2 linked regions of the Oryctolagus cuniculus genome follow. The protein of the gene in region 2 purifies or fractionates together with the protein of the main gene of each other region. This does not show direct contact. Links are inferred from orthologs where the notes say so. Each region holds a gene or a part of one and is shown on either strand. Other genes may lie near its edges.

Region 1 (7,583 bases), on a different chromosome or scaffold from region 2:
TGAGTACTTTATATTCTAGATTTTATTCGATGAAAAATACATTATTCATTGATGGATAAGAAATACATTATTCATTTATAGAAGTCGAAGTCTATTTTTGGAAGTATCAGATAAAACCAAAAAAAAAAAAGTATTTAACCTAACACACACCCCTCCCCGCTCCAATAAAACTTTCTGGAACGGTTAAAACTAATTTCCCAAAAGGAGCAGAAGGAAGCTACCCATATATCTTGCTTCATGTGAGTCATAAAGCAAAGTCTGAAGAATTGCACCAATAAACTAAACTTTTCTTCCCAAAACGTAGCCAGAAAAATGTCCGAGGTCTGTAAACACGAGCTATGTTAGTTTAGCGACACAGAAGGAAAAATTGCATTCTTCCATAGAGCAGACCACCGAAGCAGGGAGAAAACTGTGGGTTCCTTTAGGGATCCTCTTGTATTCATTCTTGTACAGCACTGAGCCTGCTCCACGGGGACCACACAGCAGTGGTTCTGTTGACTGAATGAATGAGTGACCGGGGCCAGGCGGCTTTGCAGAGCATGCTAACAGAGCTCATATACCGACCATTTTCCTTCCTATTCTCCCTTCAATTTTCCCGCTTTTTCCTGCTAATGACCAATTGCTGCAGATTCTTTGTTATTTGTTCTGTGGCGCACCCCTTCCACGACCTCCTATAATCTGGGGGTGTCCTATGACTGCTTTCTTTTTTTTTTTTTTTTAAGGATTTTATTTGAGAGGCAGAGTTACAGACAGTGAGAGGGAAAGACAGAGAGAAAGGTCTTCCTTCCGTTGGTTCACTCCCCAAATGGCCGCAATGGGCCTGAGCTGTACTGATCCGAAGCCAGGAGCCAGGAGCTTCTTCCAGTCTTCCACACGGGTGCAGGCGCCCAAGGACCTGGACCATCTTCTACTACTTTCCTGACCATCCCAGAGTGGGTGGGAGGCAGCGGTGGCAGTGGTGGCAGAAGCCGCAGCAGTCGTCCTCCCAATAGTTCTTTTTTTCCGTTCTCTTTCTGCAGTTCTGGGCACCTCTACCTGCCCCGGGGTGGACCCCAGCACTCTCTGGCGTGCTCCCGTATCACTCTAGCCAACCTTTTGTGGTTCCATCACTTGACTGTCCCCTCTATTCATGAATTTCTCTCTGCGCGACTCAGCACACCTTGCTGCTGTACCGCCATCTTCTCCATGACTGCTTTCATCAGAACATAGCAAAAGTGACTCCATGACACTTTTCAGAGCCACTTCCTGTCCCTCAAAACACTGTCTCTTGGACACCCAAGCTGCCATGTAGTAGGTCCCACTACTCTGAGGTAGCCATGCTGTAGGTGGCATGTGTAGATACTCTAGGCTTTAGTCCCAGCTAAGCCCCACCGTCCAACAATCCTCACCATGGTGCCACACACTTCAGTAGGCCATCCTGGACCCTGCAGACCAGCCCGCCCCCAGCTGAAATCACTAAGTGACCTTGGTCATCACCACACAGAGCAGAAGAGCTCAGCTGAGCCTCTTCCAAAGGCCTAACCCACAAAACTGCAGTACAATGAAATGGCTATCATTTTCAGCCACTAAATGCTGGAATACCTTGTTACACCACTATAGATCACTGGAACATTCTCTCTACTTTCTCCTTTACCTCCTTCTTATGAGAAGCAGTGGGAGCCAAAAGCAGCCACCCTTCTTCAGCCAGCCTTTCTGTTTGCAGAAGTTGGGCACTGAAGACCATGCAGGCGGACAACGGGAGGCAACTGACCCTAACATCAAGACGTAGAGTCAGGCTCTAGATGGCAAATGCACTCACCCAGGCAGCAGAGAGTAGCTACCCATGCTTGGCACCCGAGGCCCCAGAGCCTCCACCAGGCGCCACAGAAGGCCGTACCTGCCTCATGAGCTCCTCCTGGCGCATCCGAATCCTCTCTCTTTCCATCTGGATCCTCTGAAGCTGCAGTTTCTGCTGTTGCTGCTGCTGCTGCTGCTGCTGCTGCTGCTGCTGAGTGGTGAGCGCGCTGGGCATGCTCATGAGCCCCGCCGGTGGGTTCTGAGGAGGGCGGCTCTGCTGGCTCAGGGTACTGGGGGTCATCTGCTGCTGGTGCTGGTGATTCATCACTACAGGAGGGAAAAACAGACAGGAGGTTACCCACCAGGGCCTGCGGGACCTTATCAGAAAGAGACCATCAGAATGCTCTGTGCTTCGCAGTACACATTCCCAAGATTCCTTCCAAAGATCTTTCCTGTTAATCATTACTGTCTAAGTAATTATTACCTTCATTCAATTCATGGAGGGTCAGGAAGCGGCCCCACTCCTGACTCATCTAGTAAGCTTTTGGGTTCTACGAAAAATCTTCTTTCACACCTTCCCTGCGGGTGGAGCCCATTTTAAGCCTCACACAGAACACACTGGCAAAAAAGCAAATTCCACGAGGGTTAACAGGAATTATGAGCTAATTCCACCGCGTCATCTTGGTGGGGGTGTGTGCACTTTCTCAGACAACCTACACACATGTGTATGGCACAGCTGAGGAGAGGACACGCTCATCAGCACGTGCTGGGTCCACAGCCATTGCTGGGGTGGACGGGTGAACTGCCAAGCAACATATCCATCACAGCACCCAGGTCAGGAACCCACACCTGGGTAGGACTCGTTAATGCCCGGGCTACAAAGGGAACCCCAAAGAAGGCTGAGCTTCTGCAAAGGGAAAAATCAGTGAGAAAGAAAGTACATAGCAATGCTAAGCCTGTTTGTGACTGGATAAAGATGCTAGAAGTGTTCTCAACTTTTAAAGTTTCCTCTATTTATCAGCATTTACCAACATGTGAAATTTCGGCATATACAACTTTACTTTAGAAAAAACTGGGAGCTGGCGCTGTGGCGCAGCAGGATAAAACCCTGGCCTGCAGCGCTGGCATCCCATCTGGGTGCCTGTTCGAATCCTGGCTGCTCCACTTCCAATCCAGCTCTCTGCTATTGCCTGGGATAGCAGCAGAAGATGGCCCCAAGTCCTTGGGCCCCTGCACCCATGTGGGAGACCTGGAAGAAGCTCCAGGCTCCTGGCTTAGGAACAGCTCAGCTCAGACCATTGCAGCAATTTTGGGAGTGAATCAGTGGATGGAAGACCTCTCTCTCTCTCTCTCTGCCTCTCTCTGTAACTCTGTCCTTCAAATAAATAAAGTCTTTTAAAAAAAGAGTCTGAACTCTAATAATGCTATAATTGGAACTGCCACAAAATTATTTATTTTCATTTTTAATGCATTTCTAAAAGTGCTAGTTTTTCTCAAAACAACTGACCATTCAAATTTGCTTCAATTCTGCCTAGGCAATATCATGTAATAACGAAAACAAAATTTTTCCATCTATTTGCTCCTAGGTCAGCGCCAAAGACAGCAAGGTATAATTTTATAACCTCACTTCATTTTCAGGGGTGGGGGGAAGAGAGGACAACCTCAATTTTTGCTATACTTGGTATCACTACCAAAGACAAAAATATTGGGACAGGCACTGTGGCACAGTGGGTTAAGCCACCATTTGGGATACCCACATCCCATGTCGAATCCACTTCCAATCCAGCTTCCTGTTAATGAGCCTGGGAGGCAGCAGATGATGGCCCCAAATATGTGGATTCCAGCCACCCACATGAGAGCCTGCAGATGGAGTTCCTGACTCCTGACTTTGGCCTGGTCTAGCTTCAGCTATTGTACACATTTGGGTAGTGAACCTCTGGACAGAAGATCTCTCTATTTCTCTCCATCTCTCCTTCTCTCTCTCTGTCACTCTGCCTTTCAACTAAATAAATATATCTTTTTTTTTTTCCTTTCACAGGTAGAATTTACAGTGAGAGAGAGACGAAGAGAAAGGTCTTCCTTCCGTTGGTTCACTCTCCAAATGGCCGCAACGGCCGGAGCTGTGCCGATCCAAAGCCAGGAGCCAGGAATCTCCTCCTGGTCTCCCATGCGGGTACAGGGGCCCAAGGACTTGGGCCATCCTCCACTGCCATCCCAGGCCACAGCAGAGAGCTGGACTGGAAGAGGAGCAACCAGAACTAGAACCCAGTGCCCATATGGGATGCCAGCGCCGAAGGCGGAGGATTAACCTACTAAGCCACGGCACTGGCCCAATAAATACATCTTTAAACACTGTTTAAATAAAAGATAAAAATATTGACATATTTTAATATAAAAGTTTAAAAGTTAAATATTTTATATCTTCAATTTACTGTGGAAATTATGTGAAAACAATTTCTAAGTAAATTTTCTTAAATGAATTTTAAAGTAGCCCAATCATCCATGTATTAAATGTGTGGCATATTTAGTACATACATGCACACACACACACACATGCACGAGAGGTCTTCAAACAGTGCATTGTATTTCATGAAAAAACTAGGTAAGGATTTTAATTTTTTTTTGCACTGAAATACACTTACATATTGATCCTATTTTTGTACCCTTGTAAACTGTCACCAGTAGCAACACTAAAGATGTTCTTTTTTTTTTTTTTTTTTTTTTTGATTTATTTATTTGAAAGCCAGAGTCACAGAAAGAGAGAGGAGAGACAGAGAGAGATCTTCTATCTGCTGGTTCACTCCCCAAATGGTCACAACAGCCAGGGCTGGGCCAGGCCAAAGCCAGGAGCTAGGAGCTTCCTCACATGGACACAGGGGCCCAAGGACTTGGGCCATCCTCCACTGCTTCCCAAGTGCACCAAAAGGGAGCTAGATCAGAAGTGGGCAGCTGGGACTCCAACAGGCACCCTTACGGCACCTTATGGCACCCAAGGCTGGAGGTGGGGTGGGCCAAACACATCCACTGAAGTGTCTGGTGAAGCCCCTCACTCTGATCTTTACTGCACTCCCACTGAGTGCCCAACTCTGAGCTTGACACTGGATAAGTAGCTCCTGCCCTCACAGGAAATAACAGGCCTGCATTTTATGGAAAAGGGACATTACCCCACCACTCTGCCAGCGTCAAATTCAAGGTCTCCGACACCAGCACCCTGGCCAGTGGTTCATCTTCAAATGACTACAAGCCAGAACAACTTACAGCAAGGAGATGGGATTAGCAACAGGAAGAATTCAAGTGAGTACAGATGGATGCACAGCTCAGTGACAGGCTACCTAGGGAAAGTGAGACCATTCACAGTGCACTGTTGAGACAGCTGGATTCCCCTTTGTGAACTGAGCCCAGCACAAAGGACTCTCCCCTCCTGGCACCATCCTTGACACACAGGGGGAGCTCGGTACCCGACCTGATGAGTGGATGAAACCAGATGGACATTTTTACACTCTTAGGGTGAGAACATCCATTGTGACTGATGCCAAAGTAGCCGCACTGAGTGTTTCACTTCTAGAGTTTATGGGTGCAACATTACAACCTTGACTGGAAGGCCCAGGTGGGATGGCCAGCAATGCGCACGCAGGGAGCCACAGGGAAAGCGTGCTCTTAAATACCGACCAAAGGAAGACAAAAAACAGATGTCCAGAAGGTTTAATTCATAAAACCGACTTCCAGCCAGGGAAGGGAGGCACAGATGAAGAAATGGCAAGTATTCAAAGGATGGAAACCCTTTGGAAAAAGCATATTTACTTTTCTGATACAACTTTTGTAGATGCTCAATATCCTCACTATCACACAACTCCGGGGTAGGAAAAAGACGTTTGAAAAGCACAGACTCTTAATTCTTTGAACAATTTTAGCCACAGACTTGGGTCTCATAACTTGCTGACATGACAGATTCGAGCAGGGCTGTCTTCAGTGTCTTCGGCAGAACGTGCTTGTTCCTGTACAAATAGGGTATCGGGTTCGCTCCCAAGCCAGTCCTCTGTTAACTCAACTCCACGCAGCAACCAGACAAGCTCAGCAGATCTTACTAAATCTTTACCTGGGGGAGTTCCCTTGGAGGAAAGCTCTTCCAAAAACACACCCTTCCCAGCCCCTACCAGAGACAGTCACAGGGAGTAGCCTTGAGAGGTTGATTTCTTCCACTCAATTTAGATTTGACCATTCAGACTAAACATCCCTGGTTATTAACTGTGGAGTCTGGAAAAGAGCAGAACGTAGACCATGGCTTTGTTTTCAAAATAAAGTCACACCAAGAGAGCAGGTTGTAATCAGACAGTCACCACGGTATTGTTTATAATAGCAAAGACTAAAAATGACTTTAATGTCCACCAAGGGGAGATTATGGTCTGTCCATCCAGAGAAATTCTACATAAGCATTCCAAAGAATGATGGAATTCTATAGGAACTTACAAGGAACAATCTCTAAGAAGCACTGTTCAGAGAGGAAGCAACCCAAGGGACAGAACTGAAAGTAAGAGCATGCTCCCATTTGCAGGGACCAGCAAGGGACACTTAGTGCGCACGCACAGAGAAGCTCTCTGAAAGACACACCTGGAACTGGTAACAGAAGGAACCAAAGCCCAAAGAACCAGGGAACTTCACCAACGTCATGAAAATGGTCATTGTCCTAGAAGCCAGGTGTCCTGACTCAATCCAGGAGTTCACAATTCAGTGCCAACTCTGCTCCCTCCAGCTGTGCAATTTCTAACTGTTTCTAAGTCATGTCTGAGACCAGAGCTCACAAGCAATGGTGGCCAATGTATCCAGAAAGCACACATGCTTTTTTCCAAGGGTTCAGAAATGGCCATCCCTTGAATAACTGCCATTCCTTCATCTGCACTATGTTTGAGACCAGCATTGTGGAGCAGCAGGTCAAGTCGCTGCCTGAGATGCCTGCATCCCATGTGAGTGCCAGTTCAAGTCCCGGCTGCTCCACTTCTCATTCAGCTCCCTGCTAATGCACTTGGGAGAGCGGTGAAAGATGGCCCAGTGCTTGGGCCCCTGCACCCATGTGGGAGACCCAGATGGAGTTCCTGGCTCCTGTTTTCAGCCTGGACCAGTCTTGGCTCCTGAGACCATTTGGGGAGTGGGAGTGAACCAGTAGATAAAAGATTTCTTCCGCCTTCTTCCCCCATCTCTGTCTGTAACTCTCTGCCTTTCAAATAAATAAAATAATTCTTGGGGGGGGGGGGGGGCTGTGTCTGTAGATTCTCAGAGCCCATGGAGACAATGGGACTACAGGAGGCCCCTGGCAGAGAAACAAGGTCCCCAAGAGAGCCTGGGGAGACCAAACCCCTAATTTTGAGACAAACAAAACACTCCTTGGGATAATATTCCAGAACACTTTATGGAGAGAATAACAGTTCAAACACACACACACACACACACAAGGCAGAGTATCCCAAAATGCAAAATGCAGCATCTGAGGCCAAACCATACGGGCGGACTGCCATGAACGGCCTCAGAAAGGCTAACGACCGCGTCAGACCCAGATCTTTGCCAGTCCCCACAGAAAGGAATAACCCAAACAGAAGATGTCTCCATTGAAGCAGGAATGCATTAAAACTAAAGAAGGCGTCTTTTTCCTTCCAAGAGAGTCAAATTTAAATTTAGATCCCCATTTATCTTTTTCTTTTTCACTGTTCTCATCTCCTTCCTCGCCCTCAGCCTTTTTTTTTTTTTTTTTTTTTTTGCTGTTGTTTGTAGCTGGCTTTGTCTTCTGTGTTTGGAAATTAATAAATCCATGCTCT
Region 2 (7,583 bases):
CTCATCCTGAAGTTAAGGACCCACCAAACACGGTGTGGAAGCTAGTAAACCCCACTATGGGTGTACTAACTGCTGTTCTCACTGGCACTGTGCCTTGCAAAGTGCAGACAGGCAGAAATGCCTCTGAGTGTAATCCTGGCACCAGAGAAATCATGTTTTCTCTGGGCCAGTCATCCACTCCTCCCTCAATAGCTCCATTACAATATAATTAATTGTTCAATGTCTCCAGGAGTGCTTCTTCCCTGCCCTCTCCCTATTGTACACCTTGAATATTAGTCAAGGAAATGTCCTATCAGGAAGAAAGTTGGCTCTGAGTTCTATGTTAATATAGAAAAGAAAATCTGCAATGGAAAGGCCAAAATACTTTTTAAAAAGGGGACTAAATGAAACATCATAGATCAGTATAAAGAAAAGGGCAAATAAGATACAGTATAAAATACTTCTGGACTGAAGGTACTCTTCTATGAATGATCTTATTTCATAAGCACTGTGCAGGCAAAGAACAGACTTAGAATGAGAGCATTCCAGGTCTGAGTCCAGGTCTGAGACCAGAGCCCGAACTGCTTTCTGCTTCTCAGTGCCCACTACTCTTGAGATCTCTTGCTTTTAATCCATGGCAATCACATCCAGGCACTCCAGGTTCCTCTGCATCAATAATGGCACTATCTCTGTATGTTAAGTAAAGAGACCTCATATACATTCTTGATCACTGTATTTACCATGCCTTGCTAAAGTATTTGAACTTCTTCAAATCATAGGTGCTAAAAAAGGGGGGTTAGGTGTTGAAGACTGGCTTATCTTAGTCTGTTTTAAGTCAAAACCTTTTATGGTGGAAGCTCTTTGACAACTGGGACCACTTCTATGTGAAATGCCTACTACCTATGAGAGTGTGAGTACATGATAAATGTTAAATATTAAATTCAGAATGTTACCATAAAATGTGATCTGCTGATTAAAAAAATGGACTTTTCCCAAGTGGTCTTTTATTATACTTTTAAGAGTTACCATTACTGAGGGAAGAGAACAGAACCAGTATTATTTAAGAGAGAAAACAGCAGAGTTCATGTCCTGGGGCAGACTATCAAATCCACCTAGACATAAAACACAGTGGCTGGGGCCTGTGGTGTACTGTAGAAGGTTAAGCCTCTGCCTGCAGCGTCAGCAGACATTTGAGCCCCCGCTGCTCTCCACTTCCAATCCAGCTCCCTGCTAATGCACCTGGGAAAGCAGCAGAAGATGGCCCCAAGTACTTGAGGCCCTGTATTCATGTCAGGGACACAGAAGCAGCTCCTGTCTCCTGGCTTTGGCCTGGCCCAGCTCTGCCATTGTGGCCATTTGAGGAGTGAGCCAGTGAGTAGAAGATACTTTCTCTCTCTCTCTCTCTCTCTCTCTCTCCTTTTCTATCTCTGCCTTTCAAATAAATAAATAAATAAGTCTTTAAAAAAAAATCACAAGAAATAAAACCAAACACAGTGGCAGAGTGGAAGCTAAATCTTAGTGATCCAAAGCTTTAGTACAAAACTACAGGGGCCAGTGCTGTGGCGTGGTGGGTAAAGCCTCTACCTGCAATCCTGGAATCCCATATGGGTACCAGTTTGAGTCCCTGCTGCTCCACTTCCGATCCAGCTCCCTGTTAATGTGCCTGGGAAAGCAGTGGAGGATGGCCCAAGTGCACCCATGTGGCAAACCCAGAGGAAGTTCTTGGCTCTGGACTGGCCCAGATGTAGCCACTGTGGCCACTTGGGGAGTGAACCAGCAGATGGAAGACCTCTCTCCCTCTTTCTCTGTAACTCTGGTTTCCAAATAAATAAATAAATCTCTAAAAACAAAACAAAACCCTGTATCTGTTTATTCATTTCTGGTTAGAAGAAGTGGGAGACACTTTCACAGACAGCACATGGGGCAGGGTATAACCAGAAAGGCTTTGTCAATGCAGCAGGCTTGCTAAGACCACTTCAGAGAAGAAATTGAGAAGCCGATCACAGATTATTTTTAAAAAGTAAAGGAGGAAAACTAACAGGGAAAAAAGGCAACATGTAGAAACGGAAGTAGCAACAAGAAGGTCAGGCGAGTACTGGAGGTCTTAACAGGGTGAACAAGCATTTGCAACTTCATGGGGCCTAATCAAGAAGACAAATATGGTCAAAGACAAAGAAGAAACCAGGCAGGCATGGGTTTCTGTGAAGAGACAGGAAAGAGTGGCAATTGGTGCTGAACCCTGGATAATTTTTAGCTAGACTATCACACACTTTTTTCAAAGGCCAAACGTCATCTTTCCAGTGATACTAGTTTTGCGTTCTCTGTAACTACTGTCGATTTCGGCTTAGTGCCAGCCCTAAGCAAAACTGGGGAGCCTGCTTTTACTTCTGGCATTTTCACAGCCATCTGCTAAGACTGCCCATTTCCTGTTCTCCCTGCCTGCAAAAGGAGACTTCATAAACTCTCAATGTCTACTGAAAGCTCACTGTCATTTACTGTTCAAATAGGAACAAAATGTATTTTAACAGGGAACAAAACCTTTATACCCCAGGGGATGAACCTCTGTAACTGAATTCCAGGTCAGTAGTTAATGGGAAGACAGTTTTTTGTGATGTTCTGAGGGGCAGAGAAATTTTCCCAGCTGCTCTAGTCTTCCCATGGAAGCAACTGCTTGCTGTATTTCTTTCTTTTTTTTTCTTTCTTTCTTTTTTTTTTTTTTTTTTTTTGACAGGCAGAGTGGACAGTGAGAGAGAGAGAGAGACAGAGAGAAAGGTCTTCCTTTTGCCGTTGGTTCACCCTCCAATGGCCACCGCGGCTAGTGCGCTGTGGCCGGCGCACCGTGCTGATCCGATGGCAGGAGCCAGGTACTTATCCTGGTCTCCCATGGGGTGCAGGGCCCAAGCACTTGGGCCATCCTCCACTGCACTCCCGGGCCACAGCAAAGAGCTGGCCTGGAAGAGGGGTAACCGGGACAGAATCCGGCACCCCGACTAGGACTAGAACCCGGTGTGCCGGCGCCGCAGGCGGAGGATTAGCCTAGTGAGCCGCAGCGCCGGCCCTTGCTGTATTTCTAAGGCTAGTGCAGGTACTTAAGCAAAATGGACTCTGAATGTCACCTAACTGTATACTTCGTTTCTTTATTATACACATTAAGAGTTTATTTTCTGGACCTAACTATATACTTAGTTTCTTTGTTATACATGTAAAGCATTTATTTTCTGTACCTAACTGTATACTTAGTTTCTTTGTTATACACCTTAAGAGTTTATTTTCTGGAAGGGTGTTGTGGTACAGACAGTTAAGCCACAGCTTGTGATACTGGCATTCCATATCAGAGTGCTAGGTGATCCAGCTGAAAAGCCCATGAGAGTATTTCAGGCATGGAAAGCCAAGAAACTCTGGCAAAAAAAAAAGACCTAAATGAAGGATCTCCGCGAGTGAGATCCCAGTGGAAAGACCTGACTATTATTCTTCTGATCCAGCTTTCTACTAATGTTCCTGAGAGGCAGCGGATGATGGCCCAAGAACCTGGGTTCTCTATGAGGGAGATCTAGATGGGAGTTCTGGGCTCCTGGCTTCAGCCTGGCCCAGCCCTAGCTGTTGCAGACATTCAGGAAGTGAACTTGAGGACAGAAGATCCCCTCCCCTCACTCTTGGTCACTCCGTCTCTCAAATAAATTTAAAAAAAGATTATTTATTTTAAAGTTCAAATTACAGAGAAAGATGGGGGGAGTGGGAGGCGGGGAGAGAGAGGTCTTCCATCCGCTGGTTCACTCCCCAGATGGCCACAATGGTAGGGCTGAGCCAAGCTGAAGCCAGGATCCCAGAACTCCCATCTGGATCTCCCTCTTGGTTGGCAAGAACCCAGGTTCTTGGGCCATCATCTGCTGTCTGCCAGGAGCATTCTCCGGTCTCCCACATGAGTGGCAGGGGCCCAACCACTTGGGCCATCTTCTGCTGCTTTTCCCAGGCCATTAGCAGGGAGCTGGATTGGAAATGGTGCAGCCAGGATACAAATCTGCACCCATATGAGATGACGGTGTCACAGATGGCAGCGTCACCCGCTATGCCACAATGCCACATCTTTTTTATACAATTATTACATAGACAAAGATCTCTTTGGTGTTTCATTCCCTTCATTGAGAGGAAAAATTTTTAAGTCTTTTTAATTGCTAGAATGATTGAAATCTCTGAAGCAGTTGGTATATACACACACACACACACACACACACACACACACATATATATATATCACGTGTTAATGAATTTCAAAGACAGAAAAAAAGGGGGATAGTTAGATTTTGGTGAAAATTCTAATCCAAAGCGCGTATTTTAAAAAGTATTCTCCATTCTTAACTGTTTTAGATCTCTTTATGATCCAGATAAACAACTTAAAAATTAAGTTGGAAGGGCAAAAATGAATATGCATATACCTATTATCAGTCTTTCTATCAGCTAAAACATTTATTATGTCACCTTTCTTAATGAATGACTCATGCTTGACTTCATATAGTACCATTCTAGAAACATACTTAGGAAGAAAATTATATAAAGAAAGAGGTTACCAGAAGTTCTAATGAATGGTTAAGAGAACAACAACAAAACTGGTGAAATCTCTTAGGCTCTAACTACATGAGGGTACTTCAAAGTTTACAGAAAACAGAATTAAAGTTAAGTGTATCTTGGTAAAAATTTTTTTTAGATCCATGCATATGAGTATAATAACCTTAGTGAATTCAAAATGAAGTAAGAAATCACGAGAAAACCCAAATCTTAAGAAGAAATAATGATTTATACTAATTTTTTTATTCTTTCTGACAGCTAGAGTTCTTATTTTAGTTGGACATAAAATATACTCTTTTGTTACAAAGGTAAAAAAAATGGAGGAATGGGCTAAAGGCAAGAAATCTGAAAAAACAAAATGCTCACTTGTCCTGGGTTTTTACAGAGGAAAGCTTGATCTGATGGCTTCCATGTGATTCAAACTCATTTGCTTGCCTTATAAATTACTTATCAGCCCTTCTGCAAGATACTAATTTCTGCCTAGAGAAACAGGATGGCTGGTCAGTGTTCTATTATTTTTTGCCAAGCAATATTAACACATTGTGATGTCATTTTATGAGTGACGGGTCAGAAGAAAAACCGCTGAGTGCATGAGCAACTATTTTCTATTTTTAGCTGCAAATCAGTAAAATCACTGTAGTAAGTGGTAAGTGATTGGTTCACTGTTCCCAACAACCTTCCAGTGGCAAGACGGCTGGGCCCTAACACTCTCTGATTGTTAAGCAAGTTAAAAGGCTCACCACCCTCTTCGTTCTGCCAGGCCTCTCCACAGAGAATCTGTCCTGACCATTCTCTCGATGAGTTTCTTCCATAACATGCCATCAGACGTCACTCGGTACCATTCCTTGCACACAAGTTCAGCAGCACATAACGATTTGGCATCCAGGTATGACAGAATGTTCTCAGCAATATGATCCAAACCCCGTGCTTTCAGTGGGGAGGGGAGAAGGCAAAGAGAAAGAATAAAGGGGATAGTGAATGATTTTTCACAAAAGGTCCTTTAAAACAGAATAGCATTTGTTCTATTATGAAGGCATATCATTGTCCCCAGCGTAGTCCAGTTGCTCTTTCAAACAGAGGCTTGGGTAAAATGAGTGTCAATAATTTTTCCATAAGGTTACAGAAATGAACAGTATTTTCCATCTTCCTTTAGATAAGGAAGTTAAAGCTAACAACCAGCAACCCCTCCAAGACATTAAAAATAAAAAGGATTCCAGAAAACAATTCACATCTATCTATATGGATTTCAGCACTAGGGGATGTTCTGTGGATGGCATCTCAAACTCTGATTCAGACCCCCCCAAATCTCTATATTAGGTCCATTTCTCATTCTGTTTCTATTACTGCTGCAATTCCAAAGCTATTCAGTAGAAGAAATATCCTTTAAATGTACTGGGGGAGAAACACTAAGGCAGAATGTGCTGGGTTATAGAATTTGGGGCATGCAGAAAGGAGGAGAAGAAGGAAATACAGAATGGTATAGGAATACCCCAAGAGGAAAGAAAGTGAGGTATGCTTCATTTCAGATGTTTCAAAAAAGAAAAAAAAAAAAAAAAAGCTGTGTGAGAATAGCTGCTGCTATAAAACCTAAATGACAGTTGACCAAAAGTGGAAAAAAAAATCCAGACCAATAGACAACTTGGTAAGCATCTCAGAGGATATTCTGCAGGATGTGCAGAGGAAAAGAGTAAAGAGTAGATCTTGGCTTGGGTAAACCTGACAGCCACTCAAATCTGCACTGGGGTCCCAGTGGAAAAGCTCCTACACGACAGGATGATCGCACTAAAAAAATCTTTGGGCTTCTGTTCTAAGTTCAAAAACGAGTCAAAAACAATGAAGGCTATTTCTCTTTACAGGTTATATATTACAAAGACTTAAATAGTTCAGAAGGATTCCATTATGCCCTGACTCCAGTAGACATAAATTTAACAAACAGGAGAGCACCACATTTCATTTTTGTGCCTTTCCCCAAATTATACAGACACACTTTGATGTGATTAGCAACAATCCAACTATGCTTAAACATTTTTCTAATTATAAAGATTGTATGGATATCAGTCACATCTTCTAGCAGACTTGGGAAAGAAGGCATTAAACGGATCTTGTTTGGCTGGCATCACATGTTCATATTTAAGCATAAGCAGATGGAGGCATCCATCACCTAATTCTTATTAAAGAAACATGATGATAAGCCAATTACAGACACAGGACTTATAAAATACATCATGTAAAATCCAGTGATGGCACAATTCCTGAATCTTTACACTGGAAGTGTCTCCGCCGTCACAAGTTGCCAAAACACCTTCCTGTGTTTTAGTAGCTGACATCAAGTTGCTCCTGATCACTTACTACGTACCCATAAGTCTTGGGAAGTAATTTCACCAAACACTCCAAACAAAACCATTACATTAATGGATTAGAGGCATTTCTGAAGTAGATGGTTTACTAAACGTAGCCAGATGGTGTAGGTTTCTAAGTTTAAATGTCCATAAAGCATTAAACTGATGATTTAATACCTCACCGAGTGGTCAGCAGACACATTGTGGGGATCAGTATGGAACAAAGAATACGCAGGTCTCATCAACTCCTGTTCAATTCTTAGTAGTGTAAGCTTGAGATAGTAGTATGTCTCAGTGACTGGGGAAAACACAGTAATGAGGTACACACAGACTGTACAAAGAAAACTACTCGCCTGTGGCTAAAACAAAAGCCAGTGAGTGAAGAGGGGGCAAAAATCTATTTAATAAAAGATACAGATAAAATTCGGCTTTAAGAAGTGGCTATTTTCTGGGGAGCCAGTGCTGTGGAGTAGCGGGTAAAGCCGCCTCCTGCAGTGCCAGCACCCCATATGGTGCCGGTTCGAGTCCTGGCTGCTCCTCTTCCGATCCAGTTCTCTACTATGGCCTGGGAAAGCAGTGGAGGATGGCACAAGTGCAAAACATTTTTTTTTTTTTAAGATCTACGAGGGTTCAGGAGCCCAAGCACCTGAGCAATGTTCCACTGCTTTCCGGCCATAGCAGAAAGTTGGATTGGAAGTGGAG

The links.
Region 1: the proteins of BTRC (region 2) and WWTR1 purify together in Homo sapiens (affinity purification with western blotting; 8 studies listed by BioGRID and IntAct, counting the BioPlex papers as one, with this or other methods). This does not show direct contact. The link is inferred for Oryctolagus cuniculus from reciprocal best matches to the Homo sapiens genes BTRC and WWTR1.

What each region holds. Positions count from the first base shown.
Region 1 is NC_091435.1:131,933,434-131,941,016, reverse strand, and holds part of WWTR1 (WW domain-containing transcription regulator protein 1), read right to left. Parts: intron 2,104-7,583; coding exon 1,877-2,103; intron 1-1,876. UniProt on the Homo sapiens protein: Transcriptional coactivator which acts as a downstream regulatory target in the Hippo signaling pathway that plays a pivotal role in organ size control and tumor suppression by restricting proliferation and promoting apoptosis.
Region 2 is NC_091446.1:28,389,395-28,396,977, forward strand, and holds part of BTRC (F-box/WD repeat-containing protein 1A), read right to left. Parts: intron 5,470-7,583; coding exon 5,283-5,469; intron 1-5,282. UniProt on the Homo sapiens protein: Substrate recognition component of a SCF (SKP1-CUL1-F-box protein) E3 ubiquitin-protein ligase complex which mediates the ubiquitination and subsequent proteasomal degradation of target proteins. Recognizes and binds to phosphorylated target proteins.